Caenorhabditis elegans: one gene and its partners. The protein of the gene in region 1 interacts with the protein of each later gene in a pairwise test. Each region holds a gene or a part of one and is shown in the gene's direction. Other genes may lie near its edges. The genes, in order: sma-9, sex-1 and klf-2.

Region 1 (5,542 bases):
AGGTCAAATATATCAGCAAACATTTGTGAAGTTTGATTTTGAGATGGTTCACTAAATTCCAAATTTTTCATCATCTAAATTTTTTTAGCTTTGGTATAACTTTTTAATTATGGAAAATGATCAGTGTAAACTTTCAAAAATTATAAAAAAGAGTAGCATTAATGTAATGTAATAATTTTAAAAACTAAAAGAAAGTAACAGCATTTGATCAACAATAATTACTTGATTGCTCTCTTGTTTAAAGTTTAAAAAATTTACGATAAAATTAGACATGAACTAATAAATATCAATTGTATAAATTATTATTAATTGAGCACATACAGAATGTACCTGTTTAGCTTTAAGAATGTTTTCTGCAGTTTCTAAAAGATGAGTGACGCAAAAAATAACAATAAAAACACAACTAGAATTTTTACTGCATTTTCAACCAAAAAATTTAGCATTTTGAAAATTCACTATTCACTTTGTCTAGTTGTATAAATATTTTCTTATTTCGCACACACATTTTGCAAACAAAAACAAAAAAGGGTAGTTTTTAAAAACATCTTAAAACGAAACATAACGTAATGCCCTATTGCATGTATTGTTATCGGCAATTTGTATTTCTGATATCACTTGAGAAAATAAAGTCAAGGATACAGTTTCCACATAGTTGATCTCCGTGTGTTGCCACTCCTCTCAATATGGAATATATGGGCGGCCTGTTTTCGCTTATTTTTCCTTCGCTCGGCGTCTATTTTCTTCGTCTTTTCTCCACTCTTTCTTCTCACTCGTCAAAACCACATAATGATCACGTGAACCTTCACTTATTTTTCACCTGCTTCTTTTCCTGTCCTCTACACGTTTGTCTGATGTTTAATCACAGTTGTTTTCCTGCCTCGGCCTCTTTTCAAACTCCTCGGGGTGTTTCCTTTTTTTTTCCTCTCTCTCTTTTTTTCTGTAGTGCTTCCTTTATTTCTCATTTTTCTTTTCTTGCTTTTCATTCACCAGGCCCCTTCTTTTTTTTCTATTTCTCATCCATCCAAAGTGAGGGAGAAAAAGAGAGAAAAAGAGTGAAAGAGTGCTTTTCTGTGCACACATATCACTTGGTCTGTTAGTGTCATGGGACCCCGGGGCATTTCCTCCTGTTTATCGTTTTCTCTGGGTTCAAACGAGAAAGGATCTTTCGGAATTGTCAAGGCTCAAGCATCTCTTCTGAGCCAATGAGTGTTTTTTCTCTTTATCACAAATGTCTTTTACTTTTTACACGCTTTTTACAAGATTTGAATGATTTGTTTCCGAAGAGATAGAGAAAATAAAGATATTAATCATGAAAACTTGTTAATAGAGTACCGTAATTGGTGAGGTTTAGCTTATTTGAGTGCAGAAAAATTTAAATCTTGAAGTTTTCTTGGCGAAAAATTAAAAAAAAAACAGCAGAACTGTGAAATAAATATTTGCAGCTACCAGATACATCTATTTTAGTCATTTGAATTATTGAGAAAAACAGACTACATAAATGAACTACAGTATACAACTTGAATTAAAAAAGGAGTTTTTGACTGAAAAATAACCATTTTCTAGCTTTAATAGACATAGTTTTTGGCTTTGATTTTTTGTTAACGAAAGCAACTAGAAAACATTCAAATTTCAAATGTATTTAGTCATTTTCTGCATATCAAAACTATTTTTTTAAACCTGATGCTCCAAGTGTTTAGTTAAATTTATATGTAATAAATAATTTTGTTTTCCATTAATATCAGTTTTGATAAAACTAAAGTAATACAGTAGTTATCCACCACAATTTGGTGCCCTGATTGTCCTCTTAATATTTTAATTGTACGAAATTTTGCCATCAACCAACCACACTCACTTTTTTTGGTAACTTTTCTTCCCATTTCTCTACTTCTCTTGCATTTTGTTATTTCACAATAGTCCACTCTATCTTCTTTTTCCAATGTCCCTCTCAAATCATTCGCGCCCTGTTTAGCACCCATAGAGTCATTGATCACTTGGCCAACAGCCGGTCTCCCGGTAATGATAACGGGAAAAGTCAATGAACATTGAGTGAGAAAAAGAAAGAAAGAGAGAGAAAAGGACAGAGAGCAGCAAATGTGTATGTCACACACTCTTTTAGTCTCATAGAATACTAATCGATCACAATCACAAGTTACAAAGAAGTGTTGAACATTTTCAAGAGCTGCAAATCTGTGATAAGGTGACGAAGAATTGAGGTGACGTACTCTTTTCCCGTTTTTTTAAATTGTGATAGTGTGAGTGAAAAGATTGCGCGAGTAATGGGTAACCGTTTCGAAGACTGAACTGCATTCATGAGAGCCTCCAATCTGTTGCAGGAGTCAAAGTGAGGCAATTTGCGTCTTGATTTGATATGAATAGAAAAAGAATGAACGACAATATATTGTCTTCTGTTTTGATTAATGATTTATTTCAAGACATTGTATACAGTCTTAAAAACATTTGGCAACGGTTTTAGTAATTGTTATTTTTATTCCCCTTCATTCATTGTAATGAAACATATTAGAGAAATCAGTATGAATCAAATCAGAACGACGTTTGAATTGATAGGAATGAAGAAAAAACGTGACCACTCTTCCCCGAATCATTAAAAGTGAACCTTGTACCCAGTTTGCTGTAGACAAGTAACTTTCATGCTAATTATGGTCTCATGTGAACGTCACATGGTTCCAATCACTTTCTCATTATTTTTTGTAATACGTCTTCATCTCTCATTTTCCCCCTTATCTCACTTTGTTTTACGATGAACTTAACTTACATGAATCAAACTTAAAAAGTGGTTTTAGAATTGGCGAATGAGCCATCAGGCAATTGGAATCTCGAACAACTTTCAGCAGGTACAACGTGAGCAGCTAAATCATCAACGATTATTACAAGCACAGCTCCAGACTAATGGACCTGGAAGTGTTTCTCAGCAGCAGCAGGCTTCGCAGCAACAACAGCAAGTGCAGCACGTCCAGCAGCAACAACAGTCGCAGCAGCAACAGCAACAAGTTGCTTCACAACAAAACCAGCCGCAATTGCAAATGAATGCTCAGATACTGCAAGCTTTGTCAACACCACAAGGACAAAATTTAGTTAACATGCTTTTGATGCAACAGGCACTTAATGCGCAACAGACTGATACTCAGAATCCACAACAAATTATGCAACATCAATTAGCTCAACAGCAGGCACAACAAGCTCAGCAAGCTCAACAAGCGCAACAAGCTCGACAACAGGCAGAACAACAAGCTCAAGCCCAAGCTCGTCATCAAGCTGAGCAGCAGGCTCAGCAACAGGCACAGCAACAGGCGCAGGCACGGCAACAAGAACAACAAGCTCAATTAGCAGCTATTCAACAGCAAGTCACGCCACAGGTTTGTGTTTAGTACAAAATTGATAATTCGAAACTTTGATTTTTATTTTAAGCAATTTGCTCAAATATTGCACATGCAACAGCAGCTTCAACAACAGCAGTTTCAACAACAACAGCTCCAGCAGCAACAACTTCAGCAGCAGCAACTGCAACAGCAACAACTTCAACAACAACAGCTCCAGCAGCAACAGTTACAACAGGTTCTACAGGTGAGTTGACACAGAAATAGCATGTTGATAACTTGAAATTGGCGTTATTTTATTTTTTTTTTCTTCAGATCTCACAAGCCCAACAACAAGCTCAACAAGCTCAGCATGTCCAGTCTAGACAAATGCAGCCGTCCCAACAGAGCCAGGTACAGGCGCAACTCCAGCAGCAACAGCAATTGCAGCAGCAACAAGCTCAGCAGCTTTCACAGCAGCAGGCGCAGCAGCAACAACAATTACAACAGTTACAACTGCAGCAATTTCTTCAACAACAGCAACAGCTTCATCAGCAACGTGCGGCTGCCCAACAAGCTCAGGCTCAGAACAATGCTTCACAACAACGCCCGTCGGTTGCATCGACGCCTGCATTGTCTTCAACTCCACAGTTGAATGATCTTACACAGACAATGCAAGCCCAGCTTCAACAGCAACTGCTTCTCCAACAGCAACAGGCTCAGGCTCAACAAGCTCAACAAGCTCAGCAAGCACAACTAGCTCAACAGGCTCAACAGCAACAGCAAGGGCAGTCTCAAAATAGAACAGTTTCTCAAGCACTGCAATATATTCAGTCTATGCAACTGCAGCAAAGAGCCGATGGAACCCCAAACGGTACGTTTAAATTTTGTATTTTTCTCTGTTTTCATTTTCTCACGTTCACACGCTTCACAACTCTGTGTCTGTTTCCCTTCTCTGTTTTCCCAGTTTCTCCCTTCCCGTTTTCCATCGTTTCCCTTTTTTGCCAGTCCACATACGTTCAACCACACAACCACACCACAACTCTTTGAAAATTATCCGATATACGTATATGACATCAAAAATATCATAGAACATTTTGTTTCCATTTGTTTTTTTTTGAAATATGCATGCAAATAGATAGTGTGTAAACCAACAATAATTAGAAAGTGATAAAGAATGAGATTTTTGTAACCATTACTTCAGCTTTTCTCCTGAATCATCTTCTTCTCTTTTTCTGTGCACCACCTTCTAACCATTGGTTGTTCAAACACGCTTACCCAATATTTTTCCCCTTCAGCAGAGTCACAAGAAGAGAGGTTGGCTCAAATGCTGAACGAACAACAGCAGCGGATGCTGCAAAATCAGGCGCGCGAGGCACAACATCGTCAGTTGCTCATTTCTTCGACGCCTGCTCCTCGAGGTGGTATCACCATGGGAACTCCAATTGGTATTGCAAGGAGAGAAGAGCAGCCGGTACCGTCTACGGTGGCGGTAACGACGGCACCGGCTGCAGTCCGCACGCCTGTTGCTGTGCCACCTATGAAACAAAATTCTAACCCTTCCATGAATCCATCATCCACATCTACGTCTGCATCTGCCACAAGCAGTCATCAGATTTTAGCCCCCTCGCTCTCCAAACCACTTGAGCAGCCTTCCTCGTCGAAGGCCGCATCGTCTGGCAACGAGTCGATGTCGGACCACATCAGCCGAATCATCTCTGAGAACGAAGTCATTCTTCAAGGAGACCCGGTGAGTGCCGAATTCTTCTAGCGTGATGGGTTTTCTTTTTTTGAATAATTCGCCCCCTGGAGTTTGATGAAATGATACGGAAACAATACCAGACCAAAATAAAACAAAACCTTTCATGTTTTTATTCATAATTTCAAATCTCATTTGTCCTTCTGTTTGACGTCTTCGAATCTGTCCATTTACAGGTGATTCGCAAAAAGCGGCCATACCATCGGCAAATAGGTGCGCAATCCTCGGTCGATCACGACAGTAATAGTGGTGGTGAGTTGTGGTGTGGTTGAGTTTCTTGAAAGCATCGCTCCATTACCCTTGTCCTTCTATCCCAAGACAAGATATTGTCTCCTTCTATTACTCGCCCCAACGTTTCCGCTATACCGTCTCGATTTGCATGCCAGTGCGTGTCTGCACGTGTCCATATCTGCATATTATATATTGATGAATATTGTGATTGTCCCGTTTGTCCCTTAATGTTTTATAT
Region 2 (5,542 bases), 570 kb from region 1:
TTGATTCTATTTTACCTTTGGAAAATTTGAAGAGTGCTCCTTTTTAATAGATTATATTCTAGATAGCCTAAAAGTGGGGTAATTAAAGTGCACTCTTAACCAACGCAATAGCCGTTTGCTAGTCTCCCTTTTTGATTTTAATTACGGTCACTGGATTTTTATGTTTCCACTAATACCAGATTTACACTTTTGGGAAGTGCAATAGAAAACCATGTTGTTTTGCTCTAAGATTGAAATAGCTTGAAATTTAATAACCGATCCTTGATTGAAGTTGTCTTAGATATACATCCAGATCAATATATTTTTTTTGCGATTTTTATATTTTCTTAATTCAAACAGTATGAATATTAGTTTCAGTGTTTTTAACACTTTCAAACTTTCTATCCCTTTAAAACAACTGAAAACACAGAACATAGTTTTTTCTATTACAAATAATCATTATCAGTTAATTATGCCCCTTTTACGGACCATGCATTGCACTATCTAATCAACTTCATCGGTTAGATAATGTTTTGTGTCATGGAAAACACTTTCCCTTACGTTTTTCCTGATGATTTTTATCTTGCTTATGTATCTTAAATCGTTAAGAGTAGAGAAAAATGAAACAGCTGTTTTCTTTTTTTTCTTGGAAAAATGCCTGTGTAGATGGAAGAACATGGTGCAATAGAAACAAATTTATGAATTGTTCAAAAATTCGTCATTTTGAAGAAAGTACATCGACAGATGCACAAAATTTCGCAGAGAGTCTTTTATGCTTTAACAGTTCCAGCTGTCGTTTTGATGAATTTTCCATAAAGTACAAAGTTAGGGTGAAGTTTATTTGTGAAACGGGAATGCAATTCGTGAACTCATAAAGATTGTGCATGTTACTGAAACGTCTCTTCGTAATAGAAACCGGGGAAAAGGCATAAGTTGCATCATTAAGAGATGTTAGCTAGGGAAAGATGTGCACGAAGGTGTATTGTTATGTCCGAGTGTACAAGTGGAGGACGAAATATTGGTGATCTAGAATTCCGTTAGTAATTTAGATGCCTTACTAGTTACACAGTTCACGCAATAGCCGGCGAGCGTTAATTGTTGAAGTTATGTGCTATATTATGTGCCATTTTTGGAGATATTAATAATATTCACTCTTATTAGAGTATCCTCCCGTCCTATATATTTCATCTCCCAAGTTGTGTATGCGCAAGCGATGTGCACCAATTTTTAAAGGTGGTTGTAAACCGGCAGACCTCTTTCCAGACGGTGTCTTGTTGTGCGCATTCGCCTCTTCTCCTCCCCTTTGCAGACTGTTCATTTCTCGATCACAGTTGTCTCGTTTTTCATCTCCAACAATTGCGGACCACTGCATTGCCTCCTCTTCTCTCTCAGTCCGCACTTTTTTGGATCGATATTTTGTTTTTCATTGTGCATATCTCTAGTTTGTTGAGTTTTCTCTGTGTGATTCTTTGCAACTCTGTAAACATTATTATCTTACTCTTCTCACTACACGTCATCGCTTCCCAACATCTCGTCACTTCTCCTCACCCAAGAGGTGTCAATTCACACCTTAACATGATGGTGAAGTGAGCTCGAGTGGATAGTACTTCATCTCGAGCCCTCCTTCTGTTGCTTTATCTTACCGTCTCCTCTTCCCTAGTTTTTTCCTGTGAGAAAGGCACGCAACCATGCAACACATTGTGTATGGAATATCTAATTGCAAATTGCGCAAGAATTGCCTAGAACAACGCAATCATTTTCTCGGGGGAGAACGCAGTAATCTTGTTCGCTCAAACTATCTTCGTTTATTTTTGTGCGTGATTGTGGACTTGGCTGATCAATTTTTGCATCCATGATTTCTACCAAAAACTTTTAAAAAAAAAATGCACACATGTGTAGTAGCGGCTTAACATGTGAAGGACTATACTAGGTAGTTATAAATTGTATCACATCTTCTCAACCTAGTTGAATTTGTTGGAAACTTCATAATGCTTTTGGAAATTGTTCTATTCAGATCACTTTTGAATTTTAATTTAAGAAGTTGAACACGTTTCTTACTTTCCGGTACTAAAATATCAATTAAAAGGTAAAATTTTACTCTAAAACCATGTGTGAAGCTCACCTCATGCCACCCGTTTTTTTAATCGAAATGTGCTTGCTTGTCGAGCAATCTCCCAGTGGTGCACTCCTCCTCAGCTCCGCCTATCCTCCTCGTCTCTCCCCATCCTCTCACCCACAGGCAGGCATTCAGCGCAGATTAATACACGATACCAGCCTTCCTTATTGCTAGTTAATAGTTCCCTGCTTTAAAAACTAATTGTTGATTTCTAGATTCTAGCTTTCCATGTTCTCTTCATCAAATTGTTATCACGTTTTTCTCGAACTGCTGTTCTTTTCCTTTGTCAGCAGATTTTCCATTTCTTTCTTTTACCTTTCAGATAATTCTCTTACCAATTCTCTGTCTCTTCCCACTGTGAAAGTTGTCCGTTACTGCATTACTCAATAATTTTAATTTTCAGATGAGTTTCGAAACAAAACCTAACTATCTGTTACTGACAAATCCTGACACACCGCTTTCTGTATGCACATCTCCATACTACAGCCCTTCTGGAAAAACAGCTTCAATTCCATCATCAGAGGCAAGCAAACCAGAAGGAACAAATGGTCAATGGTCACATCTTCCGACTGGAGCTGTAAGTTTTTGTCGTCATCATTTTCATATTTTGTTCTGATTTACAAAGTTAATGCGTAGTTTCAAAATAGAAATCCAGGAATTAAACTGAAAACTAAATCTTCTCAATTTGCAGACGTACGTGACGGATGAATTCTCGTCAGAATTCCAAATCCAAAACGGATCGACAGCAGCTCAAAGTGGTAACGCCAACAACTACGCTGACCCTCTCTCACACCGTCGCTACTTCAATAACGTCAATGGGTACAATCACCATCAGTTCTATGATACGGCGTCACAAGCCAGCGTGAGCTCGCCGGCAACAAGTGGTAAGTTAGGGAGTCTATTTCTATCAAAATCTATCAGTAGGTGGGGCATATCATCAAGTGTGTGGTGACAAGTGGCAGCAACATCTACAGCAACACAGATTTTTTTCCTCACCTAAGAACATGTGTCTGAGAAGTGTTGCAAGTTTCCGAGTTTCTCTCGCCTTTTTTCTTTATTTCTCCCATTTAATTGATAGAAGAATGAGAGCAGAGAAAATGAAAAAGTCTAATAGACTTTGCAATCATTCTTCATCTCTTCCCTCTCTGGATCATATTTAGCTCGATAGGGACCAGATCAGTTGTGCTCTGTTCCACGTATCTTCCTGTATTCTAAGATGGCCTACTTTTGTACAACGAAAGTGAAGGCAAGCGGCTATGACGTGGTTGCGTAATAATCTCCAGGTTTCGTCATTTCTTTGGACGTCCGCTGCCAGACCACAGTGATGTATGGGTACGGTAATAAAAGAATGCCGATGGGTGAAAGAAGAGGAGAAGACGAAGTGTAATAAAGGAGGAGAACGTAGAGAACGGTGAAAGAGTGCGATGTAGGCGTGGTAAAAAGACTGTGAGAGTGAGAGAGACAATGAGAACGCATATGCCACAAATCTTGAAGATGTGGCTAAGAGCTTACTGAGTCGCGGAGAGAACGGGACCAAGGAAAACTAGGTAAATACTATCACGTCATCATTGAGAAGGAAACAAATATGGTGTGCACAGTGTACTTCAATAAATTTCACTGGTATACATAGCATGTTAAATCTGTAATCTGCCAAGTTGAGTTAAATTTGTATATTTCTGATGTGTAAATAAGTTTAGAAAAAGAATAAAACAGAAGAATTCGAAGAATCGAAGAAATGTTGTATGACCATATCACCCACTTGAAAATTGACTCTTCTAAAATTTCTTAGATAATTTTACATTTACAGTAACTTCATCGTTGTCTCCTCCTGATTCCTTATCAAATGGTCATACCACTCAACGTCATCACATTGGGAAGGCGATCTCATTTTGCAAAGTATGCGGAGACAAAGCAAGTGGATACCATTACGGAGTGACGTCATGCGAAGGATGCAAGGTAGGCATGAATGGTCCTAAAATGATCACTAATCACGTGGTTCTATTGAATTTAATGAAACCCTTCTCCACTCATAAATCCCCTTCTTGTTCTATTTACGAAACCTATATTTATGACCGTCTTATTTGATTTTTTGTTTTCCCTTATGTTAGACCAAGAGCGAGAGAATGAGCACTTCCCCAACACAAATTGCGCAATTATTTGGAGACTGTGTATTGCTATGTGCATTAAGGACTCTCTTTTCCCATTGTGCGAGTGTCTTGGATGCATACTAACATAAGAGGAACAAGCCTTACTCGGCAAATACATATAATGACGGTTAATAAAACATGGTTGGTTGGTCTGCTGAGCAAGTGCGTTAGATACAAAGAAAAACATCAACTGAACGAGAAAGTTTAAGCGGATAAGATGACTAATTTAAATTTGAATCCCTCATTCTTCCCTTCTTTATTCTTGGTCATTTACACATCACAACGCCCCGCTCACATTTTGAGATTTCAAAAAATGGTTCGACTTCAGCACAAAGGCAGTAAATCCTTTACAAGGGGCGTACTCTTGGCACCGACACGTGCCATCAAATTAGTTTTTTTTTGAATTAACTATTTCTTTCAGGGATTCTTCCGTCGGAGCATTCAGCGCAAGATTGATTACCGGTGTTTGAAACAGCAAGTTTGTGAGATCAAACGCGAGAGCCGCAACAGATGCCAGTACTGTCGTTTCAAAAAATGCCTTGATTCTGGAATGTCAAAAGATTGTAAGTTTGATCAGATAGAAGTGTGCAACAATTTTGTGGTGTCAAACACACCTGACGCAGTTGGCTCAATAGGGTTTACACAAATGATAATTTATTAGAAATCAAAGTCTATTGAGGTTTTAAGGTTTGATCACTGTGAAGCCTCAATAAGCTGAAACGAAAACGATTTCTATATTCGTCATAAAACCTGAAACCATTAGTTTTTCTGAAAACATTTCAAGCTAAATTTTCACATGTTCAAATAGTGTTCTATAGGATTCACAAGTACTCATTAAAAAAAGAAAAAACTCATAAAAAAAAGAAAACCGTACCTGTTTTAAGCAAAAACTTTTTGGAAGACCGAGTTCAAGTTTTTCAAAAAAAATAAAGATTTAAATGTTGTTTCAGCTGTTCGCCAAATGAAGTTCAGAAATGCAATGCGAGATGATAAGAGCCCCGATTCCGTTTTTGTTCCGGAAATCTCAACGCTAGAACGGCAAGAAGAAGTTGACGCCGTATATGAAGCTGTACTCCGAGCACACACTACCTTCTCATTTTACACTGACATTAAAATCCGAAGTATTGTTGCAAGACCATTCAATGTCGTAAGTAACTTTTGGGCATGTTTTTAAAATCATACTAAACGTTAAAATGTTTCAGAGAATCAATGAAGACTCAAAAATGAATCGATTGAATGCCTGGCAGATTTATGCTCATGAAATTGACGTGGACATCAAGGAAGTTGTAAACTTTGTGAA
Region 3 (5,542 bases), on another chromosome or scaffold:
GCACAGAGATCAAGTATTCAGAGACCATCTACTAATACAAACGCGTTGAACACGATTCAACAAGAACTTCATATCTAGGATTTGCATTAAAGAATTTTTTAAATATATTTTTCTTACCTCAATCACATCGTTGTATACTTTGCTTACTATTGATTTTTGTGTGATCCTGTACAAATAAATGTAATTTTCTGTAGTATTGCAATATTGTGAAGGTTAGGCCAAAAAAATGTTCATGTTGAAATATTTTCTTGTCCACGTCAAGAATCATTAAACTTCCGAAATGTACCAGCATTCTAAAATAATTTTTGAAAGTATGGTACGAGATCTTTTTGTCAATTTTGATTGCATCTTCCACGCGGGTCTGGCTTCCATCATAAATTGAAATGTTAGAGTTTGCCGAACTAGGCCATTTTGGCTCGGCCGCATCTTGGGTAGATTTACGGAGCGTTGAGTGCCGCGTCGCGGATTGGTTTTTGTTGTAAAACTGAATTTTTTTTTGTCCCTTTAGAGTACTCGACTTTTACACGCGTCATCTCCGGCAGGCGATTGTCAATGGAGCGCGAAAAATGCAACCAAGAAGGTCAGAATTACGATTGTGTTGGGAGTTATTTTGTATATTGTATCGTTTTCAAGATAAGCTGACTAATGAGGTCCTATTATATGTAATAGATTATCATATCTAGAAACAAGATAATTCTGGAAAAGATTTTTGATTATTCTTAGATAGTCTTGTTTTTTATGTACTTATCTGCGAAAACTAGAAATATTTTTAACGACTATTATACTAAAGTTATTATATATATTTTTTAAGGGATTCTTAGAATTCACCTATTTTCATAATACAAATTATAGAGGATATAAAAAATACCTATATAATAGATTGTAGTTATTGTATTTTCTCACTTCCGTTGTCTCAAAAAATGGAACCTCTTCTAATTATCCTTTTCGTTATTTATTGTACAGTTTTTGTAATTGGGACTACTGGAAATTTGATTATGGTCCTGGTGACATATTATTGCAAGTAAGTACATCAACAATTTAAATTTAAAAAAAACAAATTTCAGAAATCTCCGGTCAATTTGCAACGTCCTTATTGGTTTGTGTTGCTTTTACGATCTATTACTTGCTGTTCAATTTTAAAAACCAGATTCCAAAAATCGAATGAAAATTGTTTACGACTCATCTTGCACTTTTAAACACGCAAAAATGTAGAGTGTCAGACAAAAAGATACATTGCCACTAAATTTGTATGTCTATGTAAATATATATGTGTATATATAAATATATTTCAGAACATATGTACATACTTGTTTACTCACATCTGAATTCTCTTCGAGATCTTCTAATATTTTTATTAGTTTTTTTTGTCAAAACTCAAAATCCTGACGGTTACAATTTTTACAAAGAATTAGGTTGCTGGAGTTGCCTCAGTTAAAACCATACTGCGAGTTTTACCAGTCGAACACACCTTTCCATTATCTCAATATATCAAACATTAATCAATCATAAAACTGATATGGTCCCGCCGCAGTTGAAAAAAAGGAGACCGCCCGTCCAAACAATATTCTCAAGTACGTTTACATACCTAGTCGGCACTTTTAACAGTAATCACTGCTTCCTCCTCTTCCGCACCCACTTACTGGATTGTTCGCACCCGTAAAATCATAACTTCCCGACTGTAGCAAGGCGAGGCGGTAGGGAAGAGGGTACTAAAATTGGAGGTGGGAGGGGGGGGACGTTTGGATAAACACAGCATTGGGGTATCATTTTAGAGTACTGTAAGTGATACTGTTTGTGGATATGTATAGTTTTTTTTTTCAATCTAGCGTCTACATTTCCCTTCTGTTTTTAGTCCCGCACGTCATTTTCAGATTTAAAACCAAATCTTGGTTGTGACTTGACTGTCCGCAAATCCGGCAAATAGGCAAAATGCCGGTTTGCCTATTTGTCGGAATTTTCATTTTCGGCAAGTTGCCGGTTTGCCAATTTGATGGATATCAGATTTGCCAAAAATGTTTAGAGGGATTTTTTTTATAAGACGGAAACACTTAAAACTGTGCCTTTTTGAATTTTTTTCCGTTTTTTTTTTTGAAATTTTCATAGAATTTTCATAGAAATAGAATTTCTGATTTGCCGGCAATTTGCCCATTTGCCGGAAAAATCGTTTGCCACCCACCCGTGATGTACTGTACTATTGATCAAAACCGGCATAACTTTGGAGCACTACAAAGCCTTGTGTTCTTTCTATAAAATTTCTGAACTTTGAAAACAAAATTATTTATCACATGTCCTTTTCCCAAAAAACTCCCTTCCTTCTTCTATTAATGACACCCATCTCCCCTCCACACATTTTCCGCGCACACACCTTTCTGCCACCCCTTTCTCAGAGAAACAACAAACCTCCCCGTTTTTTGGTTACTGTTTGCCCATGCCTATCAGTTTTGACATGCTATCATAAAATGGCACTTGCAGGGCATATGTGCGCCTTCTTGGATAATTTTCTTCTAGCTTGACCATCGTCTTCTTGACATGTTTATTTTTTTTCGAAATGCCCAAAAGTGTCGTAATCTTTAGATCAAACATATCATGACCACCATCTACACATGCTCAAGTTTTCTGTATTTTCTATTCTTGGGGGGAAAGAAAAGTTTGCTCAAGTTTTCTGTTTGTTATCATAGGAGTGACCGGTCTGGTGTCACCACACCCCTTTTTTGGAGCCTGGGGAGCTCACTTTTTTGTAGACCAGAAGAGGTGTGTATATTCGCTTAGGATGTTTATTTTTGTGGAAACATTAGTCATTTTTCTTTAGTTTCACGATAGATGCTCTACTAATGAAGGCACGTATTGTAATCTAGCATTAACATTGTTTTGTTCTTTGTGGTGAGTACATAGGTATTTTGTTTTTAGTGAGTTAGTTCCTACGTGTTCAGTGCATTGAGAGTTAGAGCCTTATAGTTAGTAGTTAGTTCCCAGAATTTCGAACTTGAAAGTTCTTAAAAATGGAGCAGCGCCATTGGGGAAAATGCTAAAAACAACTCCTATGGTGTCAAAAATGACCGAATATCAAAATAAAACTTTCAAAAAAATTTTGAAATTTTTCTATTTACTGTCAAAAACTGACAAGTGCTCATTCTTTGCCACTCATAATTTTAGAAGTCGGAAAAAAATTTCTTGCATTTTTTATATTTTCATTTTGTTTTAATTATTTGTTTTAAAAAATTATAGGGGTCGGAACATGCGACACTGCATTGAATTTCCTCAAAGGCTCATATTTTTCAATATTTTGGCAATGTGCCAAAACTTTGACCTGGAATTATGAGAAACCTAAAATTTTTAGGAGTGTTGCATCATGATATTTTGTCGCTTTGGTTTAATATAAGTGAGACAAAATTCTCACAGGCGCTACTCCACCTTTAACTTTCTTATCTCTTGAATATTTCGGTTTGAGTGTGAATTCTCTAAATATCAAAAAGATCCAAAAATTTTGCTACTAATTCCCCCTATTTGTATATACACTTGTGATATGACGTAAAAACATATTCACAAGAACTACAACTTTCGCTTTGAAAATTCACAACAAATATCGAAAAGTAAGCAGTAGGCAAAGAAGAACGCAAGACTTTTATGACTTGAAATGTATTGAACGAGAATGAAGACGTCACATTTGTGCGTGTGTGTATGCACAACGGTATTACATGGTGTTGTTGTAGTGTTGGAATATTTGTACTATCTACTAGTAGAAGTTGCCTTACTTTGGCTTATGGTTAAGATTTTCACTACAAATTTAGAACTATGCATACAATTAGGTTCAGGCATTACATCTTTTTTTAACCACAAAATGAATTAGTATTTGCCTATGCTAATTTTTATTTGACCTTCTGTTACAATGTAATTTTTGAAAATTCGTTTCAGAGTCTCACTCTTTTTTGGTGATTTTCAATTTATCGTTATTCATCTACAACTCCTTCCAGATGTACTCTAGCATAGTCCCGTCTAGTTCAAATGGTTACTATCATCAGTCTCAATACCAAAATGCCCATCACCAACATCATCAGCAGCATTATCACCAACAATCTCATCATCATTATAATGGAGCAGCTGCGGCTCCAGTCATCAATGTTCACAACTATCATTTTCATACGGGACCTGTTAATAATCAGGTTTTGTATTTAATTGAAGTTTTTAAATTCAATTTTCTATTTTTTGAGGTCATCGAGCAGCACTACAATCATCATAACCATGTCCAACAAACTTTCGAAGAAAATATTCCACAAGGCCCGCACAGTTCTTTCAATTTTTCCCATGACTTTCCACAACAGAATAATTCCGAAACTCACCTCAATCACATGGAACCTTCGATGACTCCAATGGAACATCAAAACTCGGGAAGCTCGACACCATATCCGTTTGAAGCCAAGTTATTCGTTCCATCGCCTGCAGCGTCTGTATCCAGTTACTCATTTTCAAGCGATTTGTCGGGTAAAGACGAGGAAGATCCCAGGATTCCTTTAAAAGATCGTGGAAGAGTATATCATCCGCAGAGCACTGAAAAACCAAAAAAGGTGCCGAGTAAACGGAGGGATAAGGCTACTTTGGATCGATTAAGAGTTCATAAGTGTTTTTATCAAGGTAAGTTGCAAGCGTGTTTAGCTTAAGCTTGAATTTCATTTTCAGGTTGCGGCAAGGTCTACACAAAAAGTTCCCATCTAACAGCTCATGAGCGTGTTCATAGTGGTGAGTAGCTTACAGAACCTCATTATACATAATTAATCATATCCTCCTCTTCAATGTCGTGAACAGCGCGCACTCGTCGGCACATTGTTCTGTGTAACGGGATACTTCCGTTGACAAACACGCTTCTCATCAATCACTAGATACTTTTTGTAACGAATGCACAGGAATCAACTACTGTTGCTATGTTATGTTAGTCCATATCAATATTTGGCCTTGTCCGGTACTTCGCGGCATCCCCCTTTTAGAAGTATCGAATAAGGAGTTGTAAAGTATCAATAAACTGTCAATTAAGTGCGTGGGCCTATGGATATAAGAATTAGGAGGGTTGCGGGAAAATTGGAAAATAATAACTTACCCAATTCCTAATGCTTCGGAAAGTGTGGAAAATGCGAAAGTTGCTTGCAGGAAGAACGCCTGAAATATCTATTATATTTTGGTTTATCTGGTGATTGACGAAACTCAGAGTCGCGATTTGATCTGACACTGAGATCGTCAGCTAAGCTTTTTAAAATGTTTTTTTGCTGCGAAAATCTAAAAATTTATAAATTTGCAACTGCTTCTTGGGAAATTAGCTTGCTTTTTATTTCTAAAACGGTAAGATGTAAAGTTTTCAACTTTTATGTTAGTTGAGCACTTTTTTTTAATTTTGAGGTTTGAGAAACGGATAGCCAAAGTCAGTTTTATACAGATCCGGTCGTAAATTTTCAACAACTTTTGATATCCGCAGCAGAAATTAAGATTTTTCAAGCTGAAAATCTCAGCTTTCAAATGATGTTAGTTTCACACCAAATGGCCACTTGGAGTTTTG

What was found.
Region 2: the proteins of sma-9 (region 1) and sex-1 interact in a two-hybrid assay, tested with the Caenorhabditis elegans proteins (one large-scale study listed by BioGRID).
Region 3: the proteins of sma-9 (region 1) and klf-2 interact in a two-hybrid assay, tested with the Caenorhabditis elegans proteins (one large-scale study listed by BioGRID).

Annotation. Positions count from the first base shown.
Region 1 is NC_003284.9:10,770,281-10,775,822, forward strand, and holds the start of sma-9 (Transcription factor sma-9), read left to right. Parts: upstream 1-2,810; coding exon 2,811-3,374; intron 3,375-3,426; coding exon 3,427-3,582; intron 3,583-3,650; coding exon 3,651-4,188; intron 4,189-4,612; coding exon 4,613-5,064; intron 5,065-5,249; coding exon 5,250-5,325; intron 5,326-5,542. UniProt on the Caenorhabditis elegans protein: Transcription factor, probably acting as a transcriptional activator and repressor, involved in the TGF-beta-like dbl-1 signaling pathway.
Region 2 is NC_003284.9:10,202,378-10,207,919, reverse strand, and holds the start of sex-1 (Steroid hormone receptor family member cnr14), read left to right. Parts: upstream 1-2,498; coding exon 2,499-2,672; intron 2,673-2,786; coding exon 2,787-2,979; intron 2,980-3,902; coding exon 3,903-4,051; intron 4,052-4,663; coding exon 4,664-4,805; intron 4,806-5,192; coding exon 5,193-5,389; intron 5,390-5,444; coding exon 5,445-5,542. UniProt on the Caenorhabditis elegans protein: Transcriptional regulator which is involved in the sex determination and X chromosome dosage compensation pathways.
Region 3 is NC_003283.11:20,682,937-20,688,478, forward strand, and holds the start of klf-2 (Kruppel-like factor 2), read left to right. Parts: upstream 1-2,746; 5' UTR 2,747-2,762; intron 2,763-2,793; 5' UTR 2,794-2,880; intron 2,881-3,971; coding exon 3,972-4,160; intron 4,161-4,208; coding exon 4,209-4,629; intron 4,630-4,674; coding exon 4,675-4,734; intron 4,735-5,542. Other genes in the region: srsx-35 (G-protein coupled receptors family 1 profile domain-containing protein), read left to right, coding at 1-78. UniProt on the Caenorhabditis elegans protein: Probable transcription factor which regulates lipid metabolism.